2 linked regions of the Rhinolophus ferrumequinum genome follow. The protein of the gene in region 1 interacts with the protein of each later gene in a biochemical or structural test. Links are inferred from orthologs where the notes say so. Each region holds a gene or a part of one and is shown in the gene's direction. Other genes may lie near its edges.

Region 1 (10,878 bases):
TGAGATAATACATTTAAAGTGCCTGGCAGGTGGCATAAATATCAGTCCACCTAGGAGGACTATTACATTATTGCTATGAGGTAAGAGTGACTGCTGAAGACTGGACAGCTATAGGAGCTTACAGAGGAGGGGGCCTTCAAAAGAAAAGGATTTAAACAAGCAGAAAGACCAGGCAGAGATCTGAGATTTTCCACACATTAAAAAAATTTTTCCCACATAATATAAACATGATCATAGAAAATTTGGAAAATACAATTTTTTCCCATATTTTGAGGTCATTCTGCATGTACAATTTGTGATCAGCATCATTTAATGGCATATCATGAGCATTTGTCCATGTTATTAAATTTTCTCTGACAACATTGATTTTAATGGCTGCCTAAGATTTCATTGCATGGATGATTTATTTAATCATATGCCTTTGGAATATCCAACTTGTTTCACATTTTTTGTAATTAAAAATGCCACACTAAGCATTTCTCTTAATCTTTGTCATAGTTTGTGAAGATTGTCTAGGATAGTTTTCTAGAAGGAAAATTATAGAGATAACGTCTTAAGGTTAAGATCAAAGGCTCTGGAGTCAGTTGACCTAAGTTTGTTGATCCCATCTAAATTCCTTCTTAGGATGGCAAGTCACTTAGCAACTTTACCCACAGATGAATAACACTTCCTACCTCAGAGGGTTCTTACGAAGATTCAGGGTTCTTGTGAATGTAAAGTGCTTTTCATAGAACCTGACACAAAATAAGGGCTTAATAAATGTTAGTTGTTATTATCACAAATTAAATTCATGTATTTAATCCCACACATAATACACATGCAACTGGTCTGTTTCTGGGCTATTGGTTTAGCTCTTATTCTGTCTATTCTTGTGTCAATTGCACATTGTAGCGCTTTACTTATTAAATATAGTTTATTTCATAAAGGATTTCAGGTAAAGGACTAAAAATACAGAGCAAATTTCCTCTCTTCTCTTTTTAAAATTTTTCTTTGCTTTTCTTGTCTGCTTTTTATTGCAAATTAATGGTAGAATCATTGTATCAAATAACAAAAGATTCCATTAAAATTGTGACTGAATTGTAAAAGTGAGAAATTAATTGGGTAAGAACCGATATAAGAGTCCTTTTTTTCCCTAAGAACATGGCTTGTTTCTCCATTTTTTAATTACACCTCTCAGCAAAATTTTGTACTCTACGCAGTTTCCTCACATTTTTCAGTAAGATTACAGCTAAGTTTTTTTTATGATAGCATTATTGTAATCACTGTGAATGGGGAAAATGCTAATCAAAATAGCTAGTGCATATTGAAGGCGTACTATGTGCAGGGTAGATTCTAAATGCTTTACCTACCATATTGACTAATTTAATCCTCTTAACAGCTTTACAAGATTTACATTTCTATTTTGTGGATGAGGAAACAGGACAGAGAGGTTAGGTTCACATAGTTAGCAAATGGATGAACAGAGCGTCTGGCTCCATAAGCCATGATCTTAACTATCATGTTATTAGGATATTTTTATTATGTCTTCCAATTGGTTATTCTTAGTATATAAGAAGGCTACAAATACGTTTTATATTTGTCTTGTATCAAGTGATATCTCTGAATTCTATTAATACTCATTATTTTAGAATTGATTCTCATGAATTTTCTATGTATACAATCATATCTGCAAACAATGACAAATTTGCCTTTCTCTTTCCAAAAGTTGTAACCCATTCCTTTTTAATTTCCAGTCTTATTGTATTGGATTTTTCAGAACAGTATTAAATAGCACAGTGATGAGATTAGACAGTCTTGTTTTATTTTATCTTTACATAAATTGTTGACTTCATATATATACATATATGTATTTATACATGAAGAATATTAAGACTATTAAGAATGTTTATAGAAAATGAAATTAACTTATGTTCTCTTTGGTGGCTCTTAAAAATGATCAAATGTTTTTCTTGTTTGGATTATTTTTGATCTATTATATAAATAAATTTTCTAATACCTAACCTTGTGTAAATTCCTGAGATAAGCCCTAATTTGTTGTGGTATATAATTATTATGCCAATGCACTCTTGAGTTTTATGTGTTAATCTGAAATATTGTAGTATTTTACATTTATATTCATAAGTGAGATTGGTCTATAAGGTTATTTTTCTGTGTGTGAGTGAGGGATGCTATTTCTGACAGGTTTTGATATTAGGTGTATTCTGGCTTCATAAACAAACTGGGTAGTTTTCCATCTTTTTCTGTATTCCAAAACAGTTTTTACTTTCTATCCATTTTGACAGATAAATACTGTATAATAGAGATGACAAAGAAGAGAATGCAAATCACACAGATTATTTTGCCTCAGTAACTCTGCCACTTTTGCGGCTGGAGGACAGCCTTGATTGTGAAGCAGCAATTTGAACCAGTAGGAGGGTCAAGCGGGCCATTACTTTGGTGTTGAAGAGTGCGACTGGCTGGGCAGGCACAGAGGTGAGTGAAGGTGGTCCCCGGGAGGGAGGCCAGTGCTGAGGGAGGAGGGCAGCACAAGGGAAGATGAAAGGAGGGTTTACAATGGGCTGGAAGCACCTAGAAACAGCATCAGTTAGAAGAACTGGGCCTGAAGGTGAGGAATGCTGGCAGGCCCATTGGAGGAGGATCTGGGGAGTGAGTACCCCTTCCTTTCCAGGAAAGTTTCCAATGCTCTGGCCTGTTGGTCACTGGCTCCTATTGGAGTAAGTAACATTCTTTCTTACGCAGGGTATTTACCCTTTTGTCCTACCATCTCTCTCTCTTCGTCCCAGCCGAGGCCTACATCTAGTGATTCACATGCTTCTGAGCACAAGAGTTCAGCATGGAGGGCAAAGCAGACGGAAGCAGAGCATAGATAGACTTCACTAGCTTTGACTTTATGCCTGGGAAGAGTCCTTTACAAGATTCTCTATTTCTTTTTCAGTCCTTTCCTTCTGCTTCTCTTATAGCTCATATAGGCAGACCTATAGTACATGCTGTTTTTTTAAGGCAAAGGGAAGTGCTGTATGAAAGGCGGGGAGCAATGTGGAATGGAATTACTGGGAACTATTCAGCATTATGCTTGCCATACAGCTGAGGCCATTTTAAATGAAAAATCAAAGACATCACAGACAAATGAAATCCAGCCCATCTAAACTTACTTTAAGGTCAGTCAGAAATTCTAGGCTCTTTTTACACAAATTCTTTTGAAAATTATTTTATGATGAAAGTTATTTTAACTGATGGCAAAACTGACATTACTGTTTTATAGATTTTCCTCTCTCCCTCTCACCCATGGATGGATTAGTTAACAACCAACGGAGCAGCCACCAGCTTGACATCAGGAGGAAGATGCCAGAAGCACAGATGGTCCACAACCCAGATAATTAGAAACAACATCTACTAAGTCTTCTGTGAACGCAGAGTTTGGTTGGGCACAGCTGGGGCAGAGAACAAGCAAGCCTCCTCAACAACTCTTTTTTTTTTACCTCTTAAAATGTCAGAGGAACACTCACTCACTCCAGGTGGACAACCACCTACTCACAAGACCTTCAGAGAAGAATCCAAATAAATATTGCAGATACTCCACCCTAAAGGAAGGGGAGCATAACTCCCCCCTCCTTAAATGTGGGAAACACATGGTATAACAACTTCCTTCCAAAGAGTACGTGATGGAAGTAGGGGAGAGGAGAGTGTAATTCTACTACTGCTTCTATCAGGTGATAAAAGTCAATATCAACAGTCATAAATTATGTCGATAATATGTATGGCACTTTGCCTCTCTGATCTTCCTCCCCCAAACCCATAATCTCAGCCTATCATGAGAAAACCATCAGACAGATTCCAATAGAGGGGCATCCTACAGTATATCTGACCAGACTTCTCAAACTCCTCAAAAACTACTCTCAAGGTCATCAAAAACAAGGAACATCTGAGAAACTGTCACAGCACAGAGGAGCCTAAGGAGATAGGACAACTATATGTAATAAGGTATCCTCTATGGATGGGATCTTGGAACAAAAAGAGGACATTAGGTAAAAAGTAAGGAAATTTGAATAAACCATGGACTTTAATTAATGTTTTCAATACTGGTCCATGAATTGTAATAAATATACCATACCAATGTTAAGATGTTAATAAAAGAGAAAGCTGAGGCGAGGCATATGGGATCTTGCTGTACTATCTGCTCAATTTTTCTGTAAATTTAAAACAAGTCTAAGAAATAAAGTCTAATAATAATACTAATACCTGCAGGAGTCAAATGAAGACTAAGATGGGACAAAAGCACCTCCAACCCCTTTAAGCTTCGCAGACCTTTTAATTCTTTGGCTTTTGGACTCTTACCCTTTTGGGGCATTTACATTGCACCCAAGACTCCTTAGAGTTTATCCTACACACACCCTTCCGTACTTCCCAGGACCTTCTCCCCCACAGGCCAGGGTGATCTCATTCAGTCTAGGGACTTTAGTCACTACCTCTCTTCTGGCGATTTCTAAATCTTGTCTGGTTCAGGTCACTGTTCATCTAACTCTCTATTACGCAGCGCCCCCTAGGCGTCCAATTCAGCATTTCCAGACCCAAACCCGGATTGTCCTAAATCGGCTTCTCTCGTTGCTTGTCTAACCCACACAGAGATCAGAACCTTGGGCATCACCGTGACTTCTCTTCCTCACGGCTCCCTGCCAGTCGGTCCCTAAGTTCTGTCAACGCCTCCTGCTTAGGGCATTTTGTACCGTGTTCTCCTTTCCATCTTCTCTGTCAGACCCTGAACACTTCTGGGCTCTCCTCCCTATGTCTTTCCTTTCTTCATTCCTGTCTTTCTTTTCCATTCCTATAGCAGGTATTAATAAAGGAAAATGTAGAGATCTCCCTCTAGCAGGTACTGACAAAGGAAAATGTATAAATTCTCTGAAGCCTCCGCCTGGCAGTTTATGACTCCTCTACTGTAACTGCTTACCATGAATTCCTTTTCTCTATCTTCGGGTGTGTGTGTGTGTGTTTGTGTGTGTGTGTGCGCGTGTGTGCGTGTGTGTGTGTTTATTTACATGTTGTGTTTGAGATATAGAATCACGAGGAATTAGTAGCTGAGTTGCCACAATGTGTGTGTGTGTTTATTTACATTTTGTGTTTGAGATATAGAATCACGAGGAATTAGTAGCTGAGTTGCCACAATGTATTTACAAATATAACATACTAAGGCCCACACAAAGCCTCTTTTAAGAGCACCAGCCATTAATCCAGTTTTCACAGGGCTCATAGACCTGAGTAGTGACACAAGAACCACCCTCGAATTAGGTAACGGAGAAGCTGACATAAAATGGCTGCAGAACTCAATCAAATTTAGACCTGAAAATAATGGCGTGAGAAGATAATGAGGAAACTTTAAAAAGTGTAATGAGATCTAAAACTTGGTGTTCACGGCCGTATTGCACGAGCTGCAATAATTAACCGTTTGCCTCACACGAGCCAGCCAGGAGTCGAACCTGGAATCTTCTGATCCGTAGTCAGACGCGTTATCCATTGCGCCACTGGCCCTGAGACAATTGAAGACTCCTCGATGATGATACTTCAAGCTTATATGGCAGGGTTTCATGGGACGTGTAGTCCCCTAACGAAATTTTACGAATAACACGAGGTATTATGGGAGATTGAAACTCGTAGAGAACCAGACCCTGGGACTGGTGGATATTCCGGAGCTACGCCGCACGTCACTGTACAGCCCGCGGATTGGCAGGAAGAGCCATTCCCCATCCTTCCTCTCCGCTGAGAAGCCGTGGAAGACGCTCTGGTTGTTAGGGCGACTCGTCCCGCCTTCCGGGGGCTTTTTTCCTGGCTTTATGATTGGCTGCTAGTATCAAGAAATCCCGGCGTGGACAGCGCGAGGGAAAAGATGGCGGCGATGGCGGTCGGAGGTGCTGGTGGGAGCCGCGTGTCCAGCGGCAGGGACCTGAATTGCGTTCCCGAAATAGCTGACACACTGGGGGCTGTGGCCAAGCAGGGGTGAGGGCCTGGGATTCCGGGCGGGATGCGGCTCTGAACTCGACGACGGAGAGGGGCAGACTAGTCATCCCCGAGAGTCAGGGGTGAGGGGGTCGGAGTGGAGAAGATGAGGGCGGGAGAAACCCGTACTCCTTGAGGGAAGAAGCTTCGGGCCCTGGAGCGTCAGAAAAAAACTTACTGGGGGCGTGTGGTCTCTGACCCTAAAAGTCTGGGTTGTCAGGTAAACTCAAAAAGGGGGCGTACAGACCTCCAGGGCCCTGGAGAGCGAGTGTATTGTCTGAGAGTGAGAGGAAGTGTTACGGGGCTAGGGAGCGAAGAGATAAACCTTGAGTGGGGGAGGCATGGGTAGTACTGGGGCAGATCTGGATGTGACAGTCCTGGGAAACCAGTGATAGTAGAGTAGAAAATCTACTTGGTTTGCATTTCATCTTTTCACCTTACTCATGTTTTCCGTGGTTGTGTTTTGGGGAGAAATTGAGGCACAGTGTAGGGGAAGTGATATGCCCCAACATGAGCTGAACTCAGCAGTCCAGTCGGTTGACTGATGATGGCAGCTGAAAGGGTTGTGCAGAATCCAGATAGCCTAATCCAGTTGCTTGGATCTCTGGGCACTGCTGCTCTCTTTACATGACAATTCTGGGTCTGTCGCGGTTGTAGGTTTGATTTCCTCTGCATGCCTGTCTTCCACCCGCGTTTCAAGAGGGAATTCACTCAGGAACCTGCTAAGAATCGACCGGGCCCCCAGACACGATCAGACCTACTGCTGTCAGGAAGGGGTAGGGACCATCCCATATGCCCCTTAATTATTCTTAGAGGCAGTAACAACTTCTTCTTTATCAGTGCCCTCATTCTCCTTTCCTGACTTAGATATATTGATTAGTCCTTAGGATACAGATAACTCTTTTCTCCTTGCTTACCTGCTAAAAGCCTTAGTTTCCTAATCTGCATCAGGCTATTCTGTGTCTATGATAGAAAAAGTGTTTTTCTCTTATCTCTACTTTATTCCCTCTTAAGAACTAGAAATCAAACAAGTAAAGTGCCTAACCTCATTCAGTCTTTGTCTTTCTTGGGTGGGGGAGTGCAGATTGGAATACGCTAATTGTGGGAAAGCTTTCTCCATGGATTCGTCCAGACTCAAAAGTGGAGAAGATCCGCAGGAACTCCGAGGCGGTAAGACTGTTTGACCTCTCCACTGGATCTTTCTAAAGATCAGGTCTGTAACCAAGCTGGGTGGGTAGAACAGGTTTCCCCCCCACCCCTGTAATTCAGTAACTCTGATATAATAATGCAATTAAAGCTATATGGATTGTTAGCTCTTAAACTTTTCCTCTTAATCTCCATTCCAGGCCATGTTACAAGAGCTGAATTTTGGAGCATATTTGGGTCTTCCAGCTTTCTTGCTGCCCCTAAATCAGGAAGATAACACAAACCTGGCCAGAGTTTTGACTAACCACATCCACACTGGCCACCACTCCTCCATGGTACGGCTGAGGGCCTCTTTTCCTACTGCATATTATAGTAGTTAGCCTTCTTGTTCCTAGCCATTCAGTAAAGGGTACATTTGGTAGAAATGTAATGTCAGTACTGCCTACCCCTGTTTAAAAGTAGCGAGCAGGGAGTTATAAAATATAAAGAATATATAATTATTTATACAAATTTATACTTGGAATAGGGGACAAGACATATTTACATAAGAACATACATATAATCATAAATTGGCAAATGCATATAAAGGGGTTAATTTGAGATCTGGATCGAGATATTTTAATTGAAGGAAGCTTTCTGGACCCACTGAGTTTTAATAGAGTACTTGTTCATGTACAGTTCTGGATGCGGGTACCGTTGGTGGCACCAGAGGACCTGAGAGATGATATAATCGAGAATGCACCAACTACACACACAGAGGAGTACAGTGGAGATGAGAAGACGTGGATGTGGTATGTCTCCTTTTGCTGCTGTACGAAGGCAAAGGGTAGGGTGAGGGGAAGTACAAGGTGGAACCTGTAGGGTTGGCCTCCTTGGTAGGGTTGGCTATGGTTATTGGTGAGCCATATGTATTTGACTGTAGTTTTCTGTGTTTGACTCTGGACAGGTGGCACAACTTCCGGACCTTGTGTGACTATAGCAAGAGGATTGCAGTGGGTAAGTCCACAGGGGTCTTAGGATAGGTATTCCTTCTCTGACTTCCTGTGAATAAGAATCAGGAGTTTCATGTAGACTCGGCTGCTGGGCAATTTTGCTGTTTTTCTGTGCTTCGTAAGGAGTAAAGAGATCTTGCGCAAAAGAGCAAGGAAAGGCTTCTTTCCTAACAGTAGTTGACAGGTCTTTCTTTTCCCTTGTGTAGCTCTTGAAATTGGGGCTGACCTCCCATCTAATCATGTCATTGATCGTTGGCTTGGGGAGCCCATCAAAGCAGCCATTCTCCCCACCAGCATTTTCCTGACCAATAAGAAGGGATTTCCTGTTCTTTCTAAGATGCACCAGAGGCTGATCTTCCGGCTCCTGAAGGTGGGTGGTAGAAGGGTTCTAAAAGTGCTCCAACTAATCCTTTTGCCTTATTCCCACATGTATGATGCTTTTTTCCTGTGGGGCTGACTCTTCCTCTCTGGGTTCTGGAGAGCAATTTCAGCAAAGTTGGGAGTCTTGAGAGGAAAAGACAAATGGCAGTAGGAGCCCCAGAAACATTTCAATAGGAACCAAATCTTACGAGAACTTTGCAGAAGGTTCCATTTAAGAAGTTACAGTGAGGATCCATGGGGCCCTTTGAGCCAGGCTGATGCTAATATGCATAGGAGGGCTTGATAAGTTCGTTGCAGCCTCGTGCTGCTTTTATTGGTATCTGGAGAACTGCTGGTCTGGGCCTTATTTTATGTATGCTAGGACTCTGGCTATAAGATACAATAATGTCCCAGAATTTTGGTTCGAGGACTGCGTCTGATGGTCTGGCTTCTCTCACAGTTGGAGGTACAGTTCATCATCACAGGCACCAACCACCATTCAGAGAAGGAGTTCTGCTCCTACCTCCAGTACTTGGAATACTTGAGCCAGAACCGCCCTCCACCCAATGCCTACGAACTCTTTGCCAAGGGCTATGAAGACTATCTGCAGTCCCCTCTCCAGGTGGGTCTGCAGTACACTGAGAGGAGGGAGGTTGGGTCTCTTGCGAGTAGGTATCCTAAAATCCTACCAAAGCTCAGGAGGCAGTGGGAAGGTTTTGGAATTCTGGTGCACTGTTCTTGCCAGAAACTGGCTGACTTACTTTGCCTGTTTCCTCCTATCAGCCACTGATGGACAATCTGGAATCTCAGACGTATGAGGTGTTTGAAAAGGACCCCATCAAATACTCTCAATACCAGCAGGTGCAGTGTGGGTCCCAGATTGGGTCAAGCACAGGGCCGGGATGACCTAGGTGAGGATAGGATTACAGCCATGAGGTCTTCTCTCTTTCCCCCCAGGCCATCTATAAATGTCTGTTAGACCGAGTGCCAGATGAGGAGAAGGACACCAATGTCCAGTGAGTGCCCTCCCCACAATCCCAGAGATTTGTGTGTCTACTTCTCTATATACCAAGTCATCTTGACTCTTCCTTTTTTCTTAGGGTGCTAATGGTGTTGGGAGCAGGCCGGGGTCCCCTGGTGAATGCTTCCCTGCGGGCAGCCAAGCAGGCTGACCGGCGGATAAAGTTGTACGCTGTAGAGAAGAACCCAAATGCTGTGGTGACGTGAGTAGCAAATCCCTTGCTGGGAAGTTTGTTCACAGTACGTTTCTCTTGTCAGGGTCCTCACTTGTGTTACTCTGTTTCAGGTTAGAGAACTGGCAGTTTGAAGAGTGGGGAAGCCAGGTGACAGTAGTCTCATCAGACATGCGGGAATGGGTGGCTCCTGAGAAAGCAGACATCATTGTCAGTGAGCTTCTGGGCTCCTTCGCTGATAATGAACTGTCACCTGAGTGCCTGGATGGAGCCCAGCACTTCCTAAAAGGTGCCTCCAGGCTGGGGTGTACTGCGTAAGGGGAATGGATTATTAGCTGGGAAGGCTGCAAGGGGGTGGGGGGAATTGGGCGGGATGGCAGCCTAGGAGGAGGTTACAAGGTTTAAGGGAAGGTGGGCTGGACTTGTGTCGTGCCCTTAGTAAATGAAGTAATCTCTCCGAACCTCGGTATTCACATTTGTAAAATGAGGGGAGTGGACTAGAGAAGACACTTAACCTGAGGTCTGTGGGCTTTCTGAGCTGCTGTGATACAGACTTTGGGCTTAGCTTTCATGAAGATCTCAAAAGTCTTTGAGACCCCCCCCAAAACTGAGAAGCACTAGATTAGAATACCTTAGGTTCCTTCCAGTTTTAATCTTGTGTAACTCTGTAACCTAACCTGAAAGTAGAATCCCCTGTGACAGGAGTTGGGAGCAGGTTGGCCTGGGAATGTGACAGCACTGAGCTGCCTGGGCGTGAGAGGTTTGAGCCTTCTGTTAGTACAGATACACCGTATCCATCCCTTGGGAACTAATGTGGCGCTCCTGCTCTGCAGAGGACGGCGTGAGCATCCCTGGGGAGTACACCTCCTTTCTGGCTCCTATCTCCTCCTCCAAGCTGTACAATGAGGTCCGAGCCTGTCGGGAAAAGGACCGTGACCCTGAGGTAAAGAGCCACTCCCTTCTGGAGGACTCCTCTCTTTAGTCCTTTCTTTTTCTGTATTAGCTTCAATTATTTTACTTTTCTGCAAAAGATGGAGAAGTGAAGGAGGACTTGGGGGTGTGGAAAAGTGGTTGAAGTAAAAGTTTTTCATCTTTTTCTGTGTCCTTGAGTCTTGAGCTTCTTTCCCTGAGGAAGTAGGTATCTCTTACCTGTCTTCAGCTCTTGCTCTCTGTCTTTCGGGTCAGGCCCAGTTTGA
Region 2 (10,878 bases), on another chromosome or scaffold:
AATCTCTAGCCATAGGGAGTAGAATCTTCCGCATTTATTTATTTCAATCCTACTTCACCCTCAGAGCTTTCAAACATACTTTCCCGTGAAGCTGCCCATGTTCCTCCAAGAATTTATTAGGCTTTTTCCATGCTACTGTAGCAAAGTGCTTTTTATCACTGTTTGACACTTACTTCACTCTGGAAGTAAATGCATATGACTTCTCTCTGGGTAAGTTGAAAGCCAGGCTGTGTTCATCTTAAGCCACAACCCTCCTCTCCTTAAAATACCTAATAGATGATAGCTGTTAACAGTGTGGTTGAAATGAATTTATGACATTATAAATTAGGCTTAAGATTGTCTGATTATTTTTGTTAGGAATCCTGCAAGATGGCAAACTTAAGAGAATATTATGAGAGGGCTTTGAGAGAGTTTGGATCTACAGATTCTGGTAAGTAAACTTCAGTTATAGACATATAAGTCTGTTTGCATGTGTGGTCTGGAACTTTTCAGTACGGTTAGAACAGCGTTTCTTTACTGGGTCATGGCCCTTTTTGAGAATAAAATTTGTATCCTCCTACCTCTTCCCTTACTTTGTGCATAAATAAATACTTGCAGATGTAATTTTGCTTATAATTTCAAGTTCATAAGCTCAAGAGTCCATGGGTCTTCTATTAAGAACGCTGGGTTAGAGAAAGATTTGCTTGATTTGGTTCTCTAAAAAATATGGTATTTGTCAGGGAAAGGTTAATAATGTAGGTCAGAACAAAGAGGAGTGGGAATTACAGCAAAGGATAGTGGGACGTTAATTGACATTAGTTGTCATTGGCTATTGTCACATTGTCCACATTTATAGGCCTTGTAAAACATACTTCTGGGCGTAGGTATGTCATGTAAAATCTGTTTACTTAGGCACTCAAAAACTGACATGTATTTGTTAAACTCATTTAAAAAACAGATCTGATGAAATGAATGAAAATGGCATTTTTACTAACCCAAGCAAATTTTGTTAAGCATGGTAACAAGGTTACGGTGAACTCATTTTGATATACTCCAGTGTAAGGAAGCTGAGAGCGGTATTGTTTCACAGTTTTCTGTGGAAATAAGTTCCTTAGAAATCTTGTGTTAAATCGATATTAAATAATTAATCTTACTTAATAAAGCCTTGTCAGTTATATATTATATGTCCACAGTAATTTTTTTGTTCCCTTTAAAGATCTTTGGATGGATTATATAAAAGAAGAATTGAACCACCCTCTTGGTAGACCTGAGAACTGCGGACAAATCTACTGGCGAGCCATGAAAATGTTGCAGGGAGAGTCAGCAGAGGTGTTTGTAGCTAAACATGCTATGCATCAAGCCGGCCATTTGTGAAAAGAGGAAGAACAAGCCAACTTTGTGAAATAGTGTTGTAAGCCTTCTGGGTAGATTGGTGTTAGGAGTTCATCTACAATTTGCTTAGAGATGGCAGACAAGAAGGCTCTCTGATTTTGAGACATGCTTTAATTTTGTTAATGCATTATTTTTTAATTCCAGAAGAGAATTGCTGTTCAGTGGCCAGAGGCTACTTGTTGGGGCTGGATCTACTATAGATCCTGAATGTTGTTCAAAATAATGTGGAAATCATACAACTGAAGTTTCTTTTATTATCCCCGGGTTAAGGATGAATATTTCTAGACCTAGGGGCCAGTTAAAATGGAGGAGAAAGTACAGTTCTGTTAGTTTATTCTTCCCTTATTATAAAAGTATGCATGGTATGCATTTGTTGTAGAAAATATGGTGGGAGTAGAATAAGGAGAAGAAAATAAAAGCATCCTGTAATATCATCTGGAGTTAAACTCAGTAATTTGATTTCCTTTATCAGAATTGGATTTATCCTGTTAGAACATTTACTCATTCATTCATTGAGTGCCCATCATAAGCAGGAAGGAAGGGAAGCTTTTTTGGATGGAGGTAGGGGTTAGAGGAACAGAGCTGAATGTCTCTAAAGCTGGTTGAAGGAGCAGAGAAGGATGCTGGGTATTGGGGAAAAAGTTCTTTAAGAAGATCAAGATGTTATACAGGTATCTTCTATCTCTGGGACTGATCTGCAAAGTAGTGTTTATAGTGGGCAGGACTGCCAACAAAAGAAGGGCAGGGATAGGGAGCATATTAGAGAAAGGCTTCAGAGCCCATGATGGAGGATGGCTTGAAGCACAGAAGGGCATTCTGGGAGTAGGGGAGGCAGTTATTTGAATTTTATATCCTTTAACATAATGTTATAATGTCACTGGGAGAAGCATTCAGTACAGTTTATTGATGTTTCGCTTAATATTAGGTTGGTGCAAAAGTAATTGCGGTTTTTGCAATTTTCCAACTTTTTAAACTACAGTTACTTTTGCACCAACCTAATATTATGTTATTTTTCCATGTCATTAAAGCCTTAAACACATTTAATGAATTTAGAACATTCCCTGTAAAATTCATAACATTCTGTGGTTGGACCTTGTTATTGGTTGGACCTTGTTATTTCTAATTTTTTCTTACTATAAATGCTGTTAATGATTTTTGTAAATCTTTGTTCACATCCCTGGTTATTTCTGTAGGAGACTGACATCTGACAAAATTGTTGGATTAAAGGATATAACTTTTTAAAAGAATATATATATTGCCAATTTGTAATGTATAAAAAGACTTTCAAGAAATGTATGAAAATGTCAACACCTTTACCTGCGGTGGATACTTTACACACACACACACACACACACACACACATTTTTTTTTAAATTTTTATTGGGGAGTATTGGGGAACAGTGTTTTTTTCCCAGGACCCATCAGCTCCAAGTCAAGTCATTGTCCTTCAGTCTAGTTGTGGAGGGCGCAACTCAACTCCAAGTCTAGTTGCTGTTTTTCAATCTAGTTGTGGGGGGTGCGCAGCCCACTGGCCCATGTGGGAATCCAACCGGCAACCTTGGTGAGAGCTCATGCTCTAACCAACAGCCATCCGGCTGCCCCGGATATTATATTTTTTATTTATGCCATTTTAATAGGTTAAAAGTGATACATCATTGTTTTAATGTGTATTTCTTTGGCATTAATGAAATTAATGTGGTTTTCCTGGTTCTCTTTTCATGTTTTGATTTTTTTAAAACTTGTTTCTTACTAATTTATAAGAGTTTTTTTTTTGGGGGGTGGGAATATTGGGGAATAGTGTGTTTCTCCAGGGCCCATCAGCTCCAAGTCCAGTCATCGTTTTCAATCTTAGTTGCAGAGGGCGCAGCCCACCATCCCATGTAGGAATTGAACCGGCAACCTTGGTGTTATGAGCACTGTGCTCTAACCACTGAACAAACCATCCATCCCATTATTTGATTTAAAATAAAAATAATTTCCTCTTTTCCCTCTCCTTTAAGTCCCAGGAAGTTTAACATGCTAAACCCTTACATGGCATTTTTATTTTAGGAAAGAGATACATGTTGCATACAAGAGGAGAGGGAAGGATGGTGGTTGGCTTCTTATAGCAAGGCTATGAAGGTGGGTCCCCTGGGTCCCATCTGTATCTGGTTCTCACTGTTGCAGGTTATGAAAAGGCATCTAGCTAGTTCACCTAGAGCTGTACTGTTAGTATGGTAGTTTCTAGTTATGTATGGCCATTTAAACTTACTAAAATTAGCTTGATTTTTCATTTATACTGGCCACATGTTTACCATATTGGACAGCACAGAAAAATAGAACTTTTATTCCCGCCATCACAGAAGATTCTGTTGGACATTGTTGACCTAGATAGGTCCAATTAGATTTGGTGAAACTGACTCATGGGTCAGAACAGCACACATCAATTGATCACATTCTCTTCTCTGTAGGAAAGTCTATACGTTGTGAAAAAGAAAACACATGTATTGTTACACTAAAATTTTTCAAATGCGTTATGCAGTTTACAAAATATACATTCTTGGAAGGAGATGAAGGACTAGGTAGGCTCTCTAATCTCCCATAGATTGTCATAAGGTGGCCTGGTGAGCAAAGGACTCCCAGCTTCCTCCAGCTTTTCTGCTACTTAAATGTGAAGGTGAGCACGTTCAGGAAGTGTGGGGAAAGGCAGTGAAGGCAGTCTCTGCCTGTCTTCTGCCACCTCCACAAAGGAGCTTTTTTCAGGTCGGACCACCGCGAGACTCGGAACGCCTAGGGTTATTAATGACTGCCATAACATACAGTGTCCAGCACATTGTAGAAATTTTGTTCCTATGTCCTGGTTTCTAATGGATTCACTAAGAACTATCGTTAACTTAAGGGGGAGAATCACTGGGCTACTGAGTTGTCTCATTCATCTGTGGGTGAGTTATAGTCCAATTCCAGCCTGAGTTCTAGGGAAGTTTGTGAGATCAAGAGTGAAATGTGGTTGGTGAGCTACAATTGCACTAAAAGTTTTGAGAGCTGAGCTTTATACACTATCATGTAGACTCGGGTAACAGGAATTGGAGGTTTTTAAGCTGCGAAGGGATAACACTTGACATTCCAGACCAAGCTAGTCCCGCCTTGCCTGCACTAGCTGGTGCTACAAAAATCAGATTTTGGACCAGTAGGTGGGCTTTCGCTGTCGGGCGCGCCCCGCCCCTCTTGCGGCGCCCCGCCCCCGGCTTCCTCGTGACCCCCCTAGTCCCGCCCCCCCCTCGTGCAGGAGCACCCCCCCGGCTGATTGGCCCCTCTGTGGCGTATCCTCGGGCTGGCAGCCAGGCGGGCGCGTCACGTGGCCGATCAGCGTCCAGGGCACCGAGCAGCGGCCGGGCATGGACCCTCAGACCGCCGGGGCCCAGGCGTTGGGGACCGCGGAGTTGCCTCGGGGTCCGCCGTTGCCGTACGCGCGGAAGGCGTTCCCCAGCTCAGGGGTGAGCGCCGCGCTGGGGCCCGGCGCAGCCACCACCTGCGGCCGGGTCGGGAAGCTGCAGGCGCCGCGGAGCCGGGGAAGCGCCTCGGGCCCGCTTGGGGCCGCCCCGTGAACGCAGAGCGCCGTTTGGGCGCGTGCTCTAGCTGGAAACCGCTGGGCCGAGGGGCCGCGGGGTGTGGGGATGCGGGGCGGGGCACCTCGAAGGCGTGGGTGGACGCGCCGGCCGGGGAAGGAAGGCTGCGGGTCCCCGGGGTCGCCTCTGCGTACTTGCCAAATGGGAGGTGATGCTGATGACCGAGAGCTGGGGGCCTGGACAGGGGCCAGGGGAGGGCGCGCGAGGAGAGCGACTTTCCCTGAAGGACCTGTGTCTACTGGTGAGGATGTTCAGCTGACCCTGAGCACCCGATGATGTCTCATGCGCGCTCCTTTTCTAGTTAATGAAACCCAAAGGCCGGGTTTGACGCAGGTTTTCCAGAAACTTGTTTTCATTTGCGCTCCAGAAGGCTCCTGGTTTTTTAAAGACCATTGTTACAGTCACCACCTGCCCTTATTTTCAGTCAGTAATCTGTTAGATGGTGAGCTCGTCGAGGGTAGGAACCTTCTGTTCACTGCTGTTGACAGGGCACCTAGCGTAGTGCCTGGCACGGTAGACATGCTTTTTGGCTGGAGGAATGGCGTGCTTGTTGAAGCACCAAAGATACTACCTAACCAAAGTAAGAAGGAAAAAATGGAGTGATAGACTTACAAAGAAAGTTACTTTGGCGTGCAGATAGGATGAGCCTCGTTTTGTCAGGGCATAGCAGAAAAGTATGTGCACTACCTCTCCAAGGTGAGAGGGTGGTGGTGCTTGCAGAGGCCCGGAGATGTGGGAGTGCATGGCAAATGCTTGGGGACTTGGGCCTCAGAGCTTGGAGAGAGAAAGATGCTCAACAGGTTGATGATGGCTTGTGAGGGGGATGTGTGAATGCCATGGCTAATTCTGTACTCCTGCAGTGGAGCTGAAGGTTTTTGAGGCGAGCAGTGATTAACACTGGAAGGCTGGGCAGGGTGGGAGAGTGGGGAGACAGTTAGAGGTCTCAGGCAGTGGTCAAAGTGAGAGGTCCTGCAGTAGTGACCAGCGCTTGTCACTGACTACAGGAGGTGGAATCGACACTTTAAATGCAGGTATGACTTGGGGGCAGCCTGTTAGCTCAGTCGGTTAGAGTGCGATGCTCTTAACAACAAGGTTGCTGGTTCGATCCCCACCTGGGCCACTGTGAGCTGCACCCTCCACAACTAGATTGAAACAACTACTTGACTTGGAGCTGATGGGTCCTGGAAAAACACCCTTACATAAATAAAAGTTAGAAAAAAAAATCCAGGTATGACTAAACCATAAGCTAACTGGGGCCGGTGCCAAGTGCAGTATAGATGTAGCAACAAAGAAGGTGGATTTAAATTCAATGGTGCTAATGTTTTCATAAATGTTATCTCATCATAAGCCCCCTGCAAGGTCAAAACAGTCATTCTCAATTTCCAGAGAGGGAAACCCAGACACAGTGGTTGAAGTTCAAGGTCACACCCTGAATGAATGGCAGAGCTGGAATTGAAATCAGGTCTTTTCATGCAGGCTGTGGACATTCCTTGTTCCGTTTAGGAAGAGGTCTTACAGGTGATAGGATTTCAGGAACTTTTGAGTGATGAGAGCAGGGAAGCATATGGTTCGCTGTGGGGGAAGAAGATTTCCCTCATCGTCGCAGAGGAACTAAACCTCTGTTCCTCCCAGTGTATCAGCCAGGAGACAGAATTGGACAGAAAGAGCTGTTAGCTAGCTAAGAAGTTGTTAAGTAACTGACAAGTTAAAAAGTGAACATGGAGTAGGAACGGGCAAGAAACAGCTACCAACCCTAAGGAACCAAGGGATGAGGTTGGAATGGTTCAAATTTACATGCTTAGAGGAGCGGCTTTGGGGAGCTGAAATTCCACTCTCTGAGGAGAGGGCGCTGTCCAAGCTCTGAGCCTGGAGGAGGGGTCCTGAGAGCCTGGGCGTCAGACCTCTGAAGAGAGGGCTGGATGATGAGGCTGGCCCTGCAAGCTTTGGCAAACTGTAAGCTGGGTTCAGCAGCCGCTATGGGAAGACGCGCCAGCTGCCAGGGTGAAGTGTCGCTGGGGTAATGCCTGCAGGAACAGGAGGGAGCCAAGGCCCTTCTCCCGCTAGCTTCGCTGACTTCATAGGACAAAGCACAAATACGGGTTGCAGGGTCCCAGCCCCACTCAAATAGGGGGAGTATGGAAGGGTGGGGTTGCGTCTGAGAACCTAGAGCTTAATACTGGACTACCCCAGACATCCAAGTCCTGGGTAATTGTTTTTTCTTCCCGCAGGTTCGCTTTGCCCCAGACGACCACTCCGGTCAGGACAGCGAGATTGAGAAGGCCCCAGATGGACTAGGCAAGTAGATGGCAGAGACTGGGGTGGATGCCGGAAGAGACTGAGGGAGCGACAGGGACAGTTCCTATGTGTCTTGTCACCTTCTCTTCTAGCGAGTCCTCCTCTTCGCTGCCGCATTGCCTTTTCTGCCTAGGGTTTCAACAGTGCCCTTGTTTGGAAGCCCTACTGGAGCATCCCTAAGGGAAGTCCTGACCTTAGGTCCAAACCCGTCCTGTCTATGGAGAAAGACAGCTTAGGACAGCGGGAAGAATATAAGCTTTGGAGCCAGGCAAAATTGTTTTCACTGTCAGCTCCACGTCAAAGTCCTGGGCTCGAATCTTGTGGTCTTAGATGAATCACTTAATCCTTTCTTTAAAATGGGGATAATCATATTACCTCTCAGAGGTAATTGGTGAGAAGGATTTGGTGAGAGGATTTGGTGAGAGGATTTTGTTCTGAGGATTTGGTGAGAAGATGTAGAACTGTAATTGCCACTAGCTACTGGTGCTATTTAAATTTAAGTTAATTACAATAAAATGAAATGAAACAATTCAGATCCTGTTGCAGTAGCCATACGTCAAATGCTCGGCAGTTACACATGGCTAATGCTAGCCTGCCAGACAGCAGAGATGATAGAAAGTTCTGTTGGGTAGTACTGGCCTAGAGAAAGCACCAAGCACGTAAGTATAGTCATGACAACTAACACTTACTGAGTACTCACTCTGTGCCAGGCACAATTCTAAGTGTTTATTTTCCTTTTTTTTTTTTTTTAAAAAAAACAAACAAACTCAACAATACTGCCTCCATTTTACAGATGTGGAAACTAAGGCACTGAGTAAATTTCAAAAAAATTTGTGGTAAAAGACACATACAATTTGCCACTTAATGATTTTAAAGCATACAGTTCAGTGGCATTTAGCACAGTTACAATTGTGCTGTATAACCACCACCACTTTTATTTAGTTCCAGAACATTTTCATCACCCCAAAAGGAACCCTTGTGCCCTGTAAGTAGTCACACTCCATTCCCCACTTCCTTGTGGCCCTGGTGACCACTACTCTGCTTTCTGTCTCTATGGGTTTACCTATGCTGGACAGGCAAATGTGAGTTGCATATAAATGGAATCATACGCCATGTGGCCTTCTGTGTCTGGCTTCTTTCACTCAGTATATTTTCAAGGTTCGTTCATGTAGCATGTATCAATGCAGGCATACCCTGCAGATATTGTGGGTTCGGTTCCAGGCCACCATAATAAAGCAAGTATCCCAATAAAGCAAGTCATAACCTTTTTGCTGATGGAGGGTCTTGCCTTCAGTTTGCAAAAGAAAACCCCACAACATCTGTGAAGTGCAATAAAACGAAGCATGCCTATACTTCATTCCTTTTTTATGGCTGAATAATTCTGTCATGTATATATCACATTTTGCTTATTACCCATTCATCGGTTCATCGGCATTTGGGTGGTTTTCATCTTTTGGTGATTGTGAATAGTGCTGCTGTGAACATTTTTGTACAAGTTTTGTTTGAACACCTGTTTCCAATTCTTTTGGGTATACATTTAGGAGTGGGTTGTGGGGTAATTCTGTGTTCAAGCTATTGAGGAATCGGTCAAGTACATTTCAGCTCCGTCACACATGTAGTAATTGGCAGAAGTGGGATTTGGACTCAGGCAGTTTGGCTCCAGAGCCCCTGCCCTGAACTATTTCTTTATTGCTTATAGCTGTCATCAAACCGTGTTAAGAGCATGGCTGTTTTTAGGCTGATTCATTTCCCAACTCTGACCTGGCATCACCGTAGCACTTTGTGGGGACAGAATCCCAGAGAGCAGTTTCCAGGCTTTCGACCTCTTGTGGAAAGGTGCTGGCTCGGGTAGTAGATGGCCATCAGCTGTTACCGGTTAGCCATTAGCCACAAATATAACTGCTATGGCTATGCCAGCAAGTGGGGTTGGTTGGTTGGCAGAGAAGCAGACTGCGGATTGTGGATAGCAAGTGGGGTTAGCAAGTGCGGATGGTGGATTGTGTGGCTCCTGCTTCCTGTGTCTCACCCGGCCGCCAGCGAGAATATAGTGGTATGACTCCCCTATCTATGGCTCTGTTGGTATGCCTTTTTGGCCTCACCATATCCTGCATTCTTGTGTGGGGAGCGGGACCAGAGTCCCTGCATGATATACGTATATGCTTGGAGGTCCATTGTCCTTCCCACACTTGTCTTCCGTTATTTTGAGACCCTTTTGAAAATGTACCTTCCAGCCCTTCCAGATTTCAGGAGGAGCAGCCATGGTGGCTATCCAATCTGACTAGATGGGTTCTGATCTTCTCCCTGTTTTTCTCCCACTCCCCCCCTTGTCCTGTGCTCACCTGTAACATGCTCTTTGAGGATGAAAGGAGGAACAGAAGAGCAAAAATTCAATTCACCTGTATTATGAAAGTTTCTCATTTGCCTCAATGACATATAAATGACCTGAAAATGTAAACTGTGCCTGGCTCCCTGTGTGAATTACATGACGGGGTAATTAATGGTCTTTTTCAAGGCAAAACGTCTTATTGCAAATAATCGATCAACCCTACTTCTAAAAGTGTCAATGAAACTTTATTTTTTGAAGTGCTCAGGTAGCTAAAGAAGTCTGGTACACTTGTGTTACTGCTGGCCTCTTAGGAAGTCTGCCCAACATTTTCCAAGCACACAAGTAGGCCCTCTCTGGTTTGTCGGTTGTTTTAAGACCTTCTTCCTTCTGTCGATTTCTTAGCCAGTGAAGCGCGGAGCGTCCCTAATGATAGTCCTGCTGATGGTGAGGGCACCCGTCCTGAAGAAGGCGGCTTTGCTGTGGATGGCGATTCTGAGGGGGAACCCAATGCCTGGGAGCTGTCAGAAGGGGTGTCCGGCTGTCCGCCCAAGGAACAGGCTGATGATCTCTTTCATGAGGATTGGGACTTGGAATTGAAAACAGATCAAGGGAATCCGTATGGTAGGTATGGAATTTCTGGGTCCCAGGCCAAGGTTCGAGACTCTCCTCCCAGATTACCCCTAAAGGCAGACACTTTGGAAGAGGGACCCACAGCTGTGAGTCTCGCCTGATACCTGTTAGAGATCTGTGATGTCTGTGACAGCTTCTCTTTCAGATTGAGAAAAAAGAAAAAAGAAAAAAAAAACATGGAAATTTTGCATTTGACTCCGTAATGTATCAGTTTTAACACTGGCATAGTGTTACTCTCTCCAAATATCTCTGTGTAAATTGAGAAGCTGCAGACAGAAGTGCTCTGTTATCCAGCTGCTTCCTTTGCACTGAGAACGTTTGGCTGAGCAGCACAGATATGGGTTGCCTCGGAAAACATGCTTGCAATTCTTCAGGAAAGGAGGACTCAGTGTCCTGTGTGTGTGTGTGTTTTTAAACAAAGTGCAGTGTCTGTCCCCGAGACATTTGTTGGCTATTTGTTTTCACCTTCCCTCCTTCCATTAATCTGTCTTTTGAAACTGCCTGCAGATGCTGACGACATCCAGGGCTGCATTTCTCAAGAGGTGAAACCTCGGGTGTACTGCACCCCACAAGGAGATATGATCTATGACCCCAGTTGGCACCATCCACCTCCACTGATACCCCACTATTCCAAGATGGTCTTTGAAACGG

The links.
Region 2: the proteins of PRMT5 (region 1) and COPRS form a complex in vitro, tested with the Homo sapiens proteins (3 studies listed by BioGRID, with this or other methods). The link is inferred for Rhinolophus ferrumequinum from reciprocal best matches to the Homo sapiens genes PRMT5 and COPRS.

The regions. Positions count from the first base shown.
Region 1 is NC_046289.1:73,503,386-73,514,263, reverse strand, and holds the start of PRMT5 (protein arginine N-methyltransferase 5), read left to right. Parts: upstream 1-5,736; 5' UTR 5,737-5,881; coding exon 5,882-5,991; intron 5,992-6,648; coding exon 6,649-6,767; intron 6,768-7,075; coding exon 7,076-7,161; intron 7,162-7,337; coding exon 7,338-7,472; intron 7,473-7,815; coding exon 7,816-7,928; intron 7,929-8,083; coding exon 8,084-8,133; intron 8,134-8,335; coding exon 8,336-8,499; intron 8,500-8,949; coding exon 8,950-9,111; intron 9,112-9,272; coding exon 9,273-9,350; intron 9,351-9,446; coding exon 9,447-9,505; intron 9,506-9,589; coding exon 9,590-9,712; intron 9,713-9,795; coding exon 9,796-9,971; intron 9,972-10,515; coding exon 10,516-10,625; intron 10,626-10,867; coding exon 10,868-10,878. UniProt on the Homo sapiens protein: Arginine methyltransferase that can both catalyze the formation of omega-N monomethylarginine (MMA) and symmetrical dimethylarginine (sDMA), with a preference for the formation of MMA.
Region 2 is NC_046304.1:20,361,481-20,372,358, reverse strand, and holds the start of COPRS (coordinator of PRMT5 and differentiation stimulator), read left to right. Parts: upstream 1-4,623; 5' UTR 4,624-4,745; coding exon 4,746-4,844; intron 4,845-7,204; coding exon 7,205-7,271; intron 7,272-9,999; coding exon 10,000-10,218; intron 10,219-10,734; coding exon 10,735-10,878. Other genes in the region: UTP6 (U3 small nucleolar RNA-associated protein 6 homolog), read left to right, coding at 358-430, 1,196-1,353. UniProt on the Homo sapiens protein: Histone-binding protein required for histone H4 methyltransferase activity of PRMT5.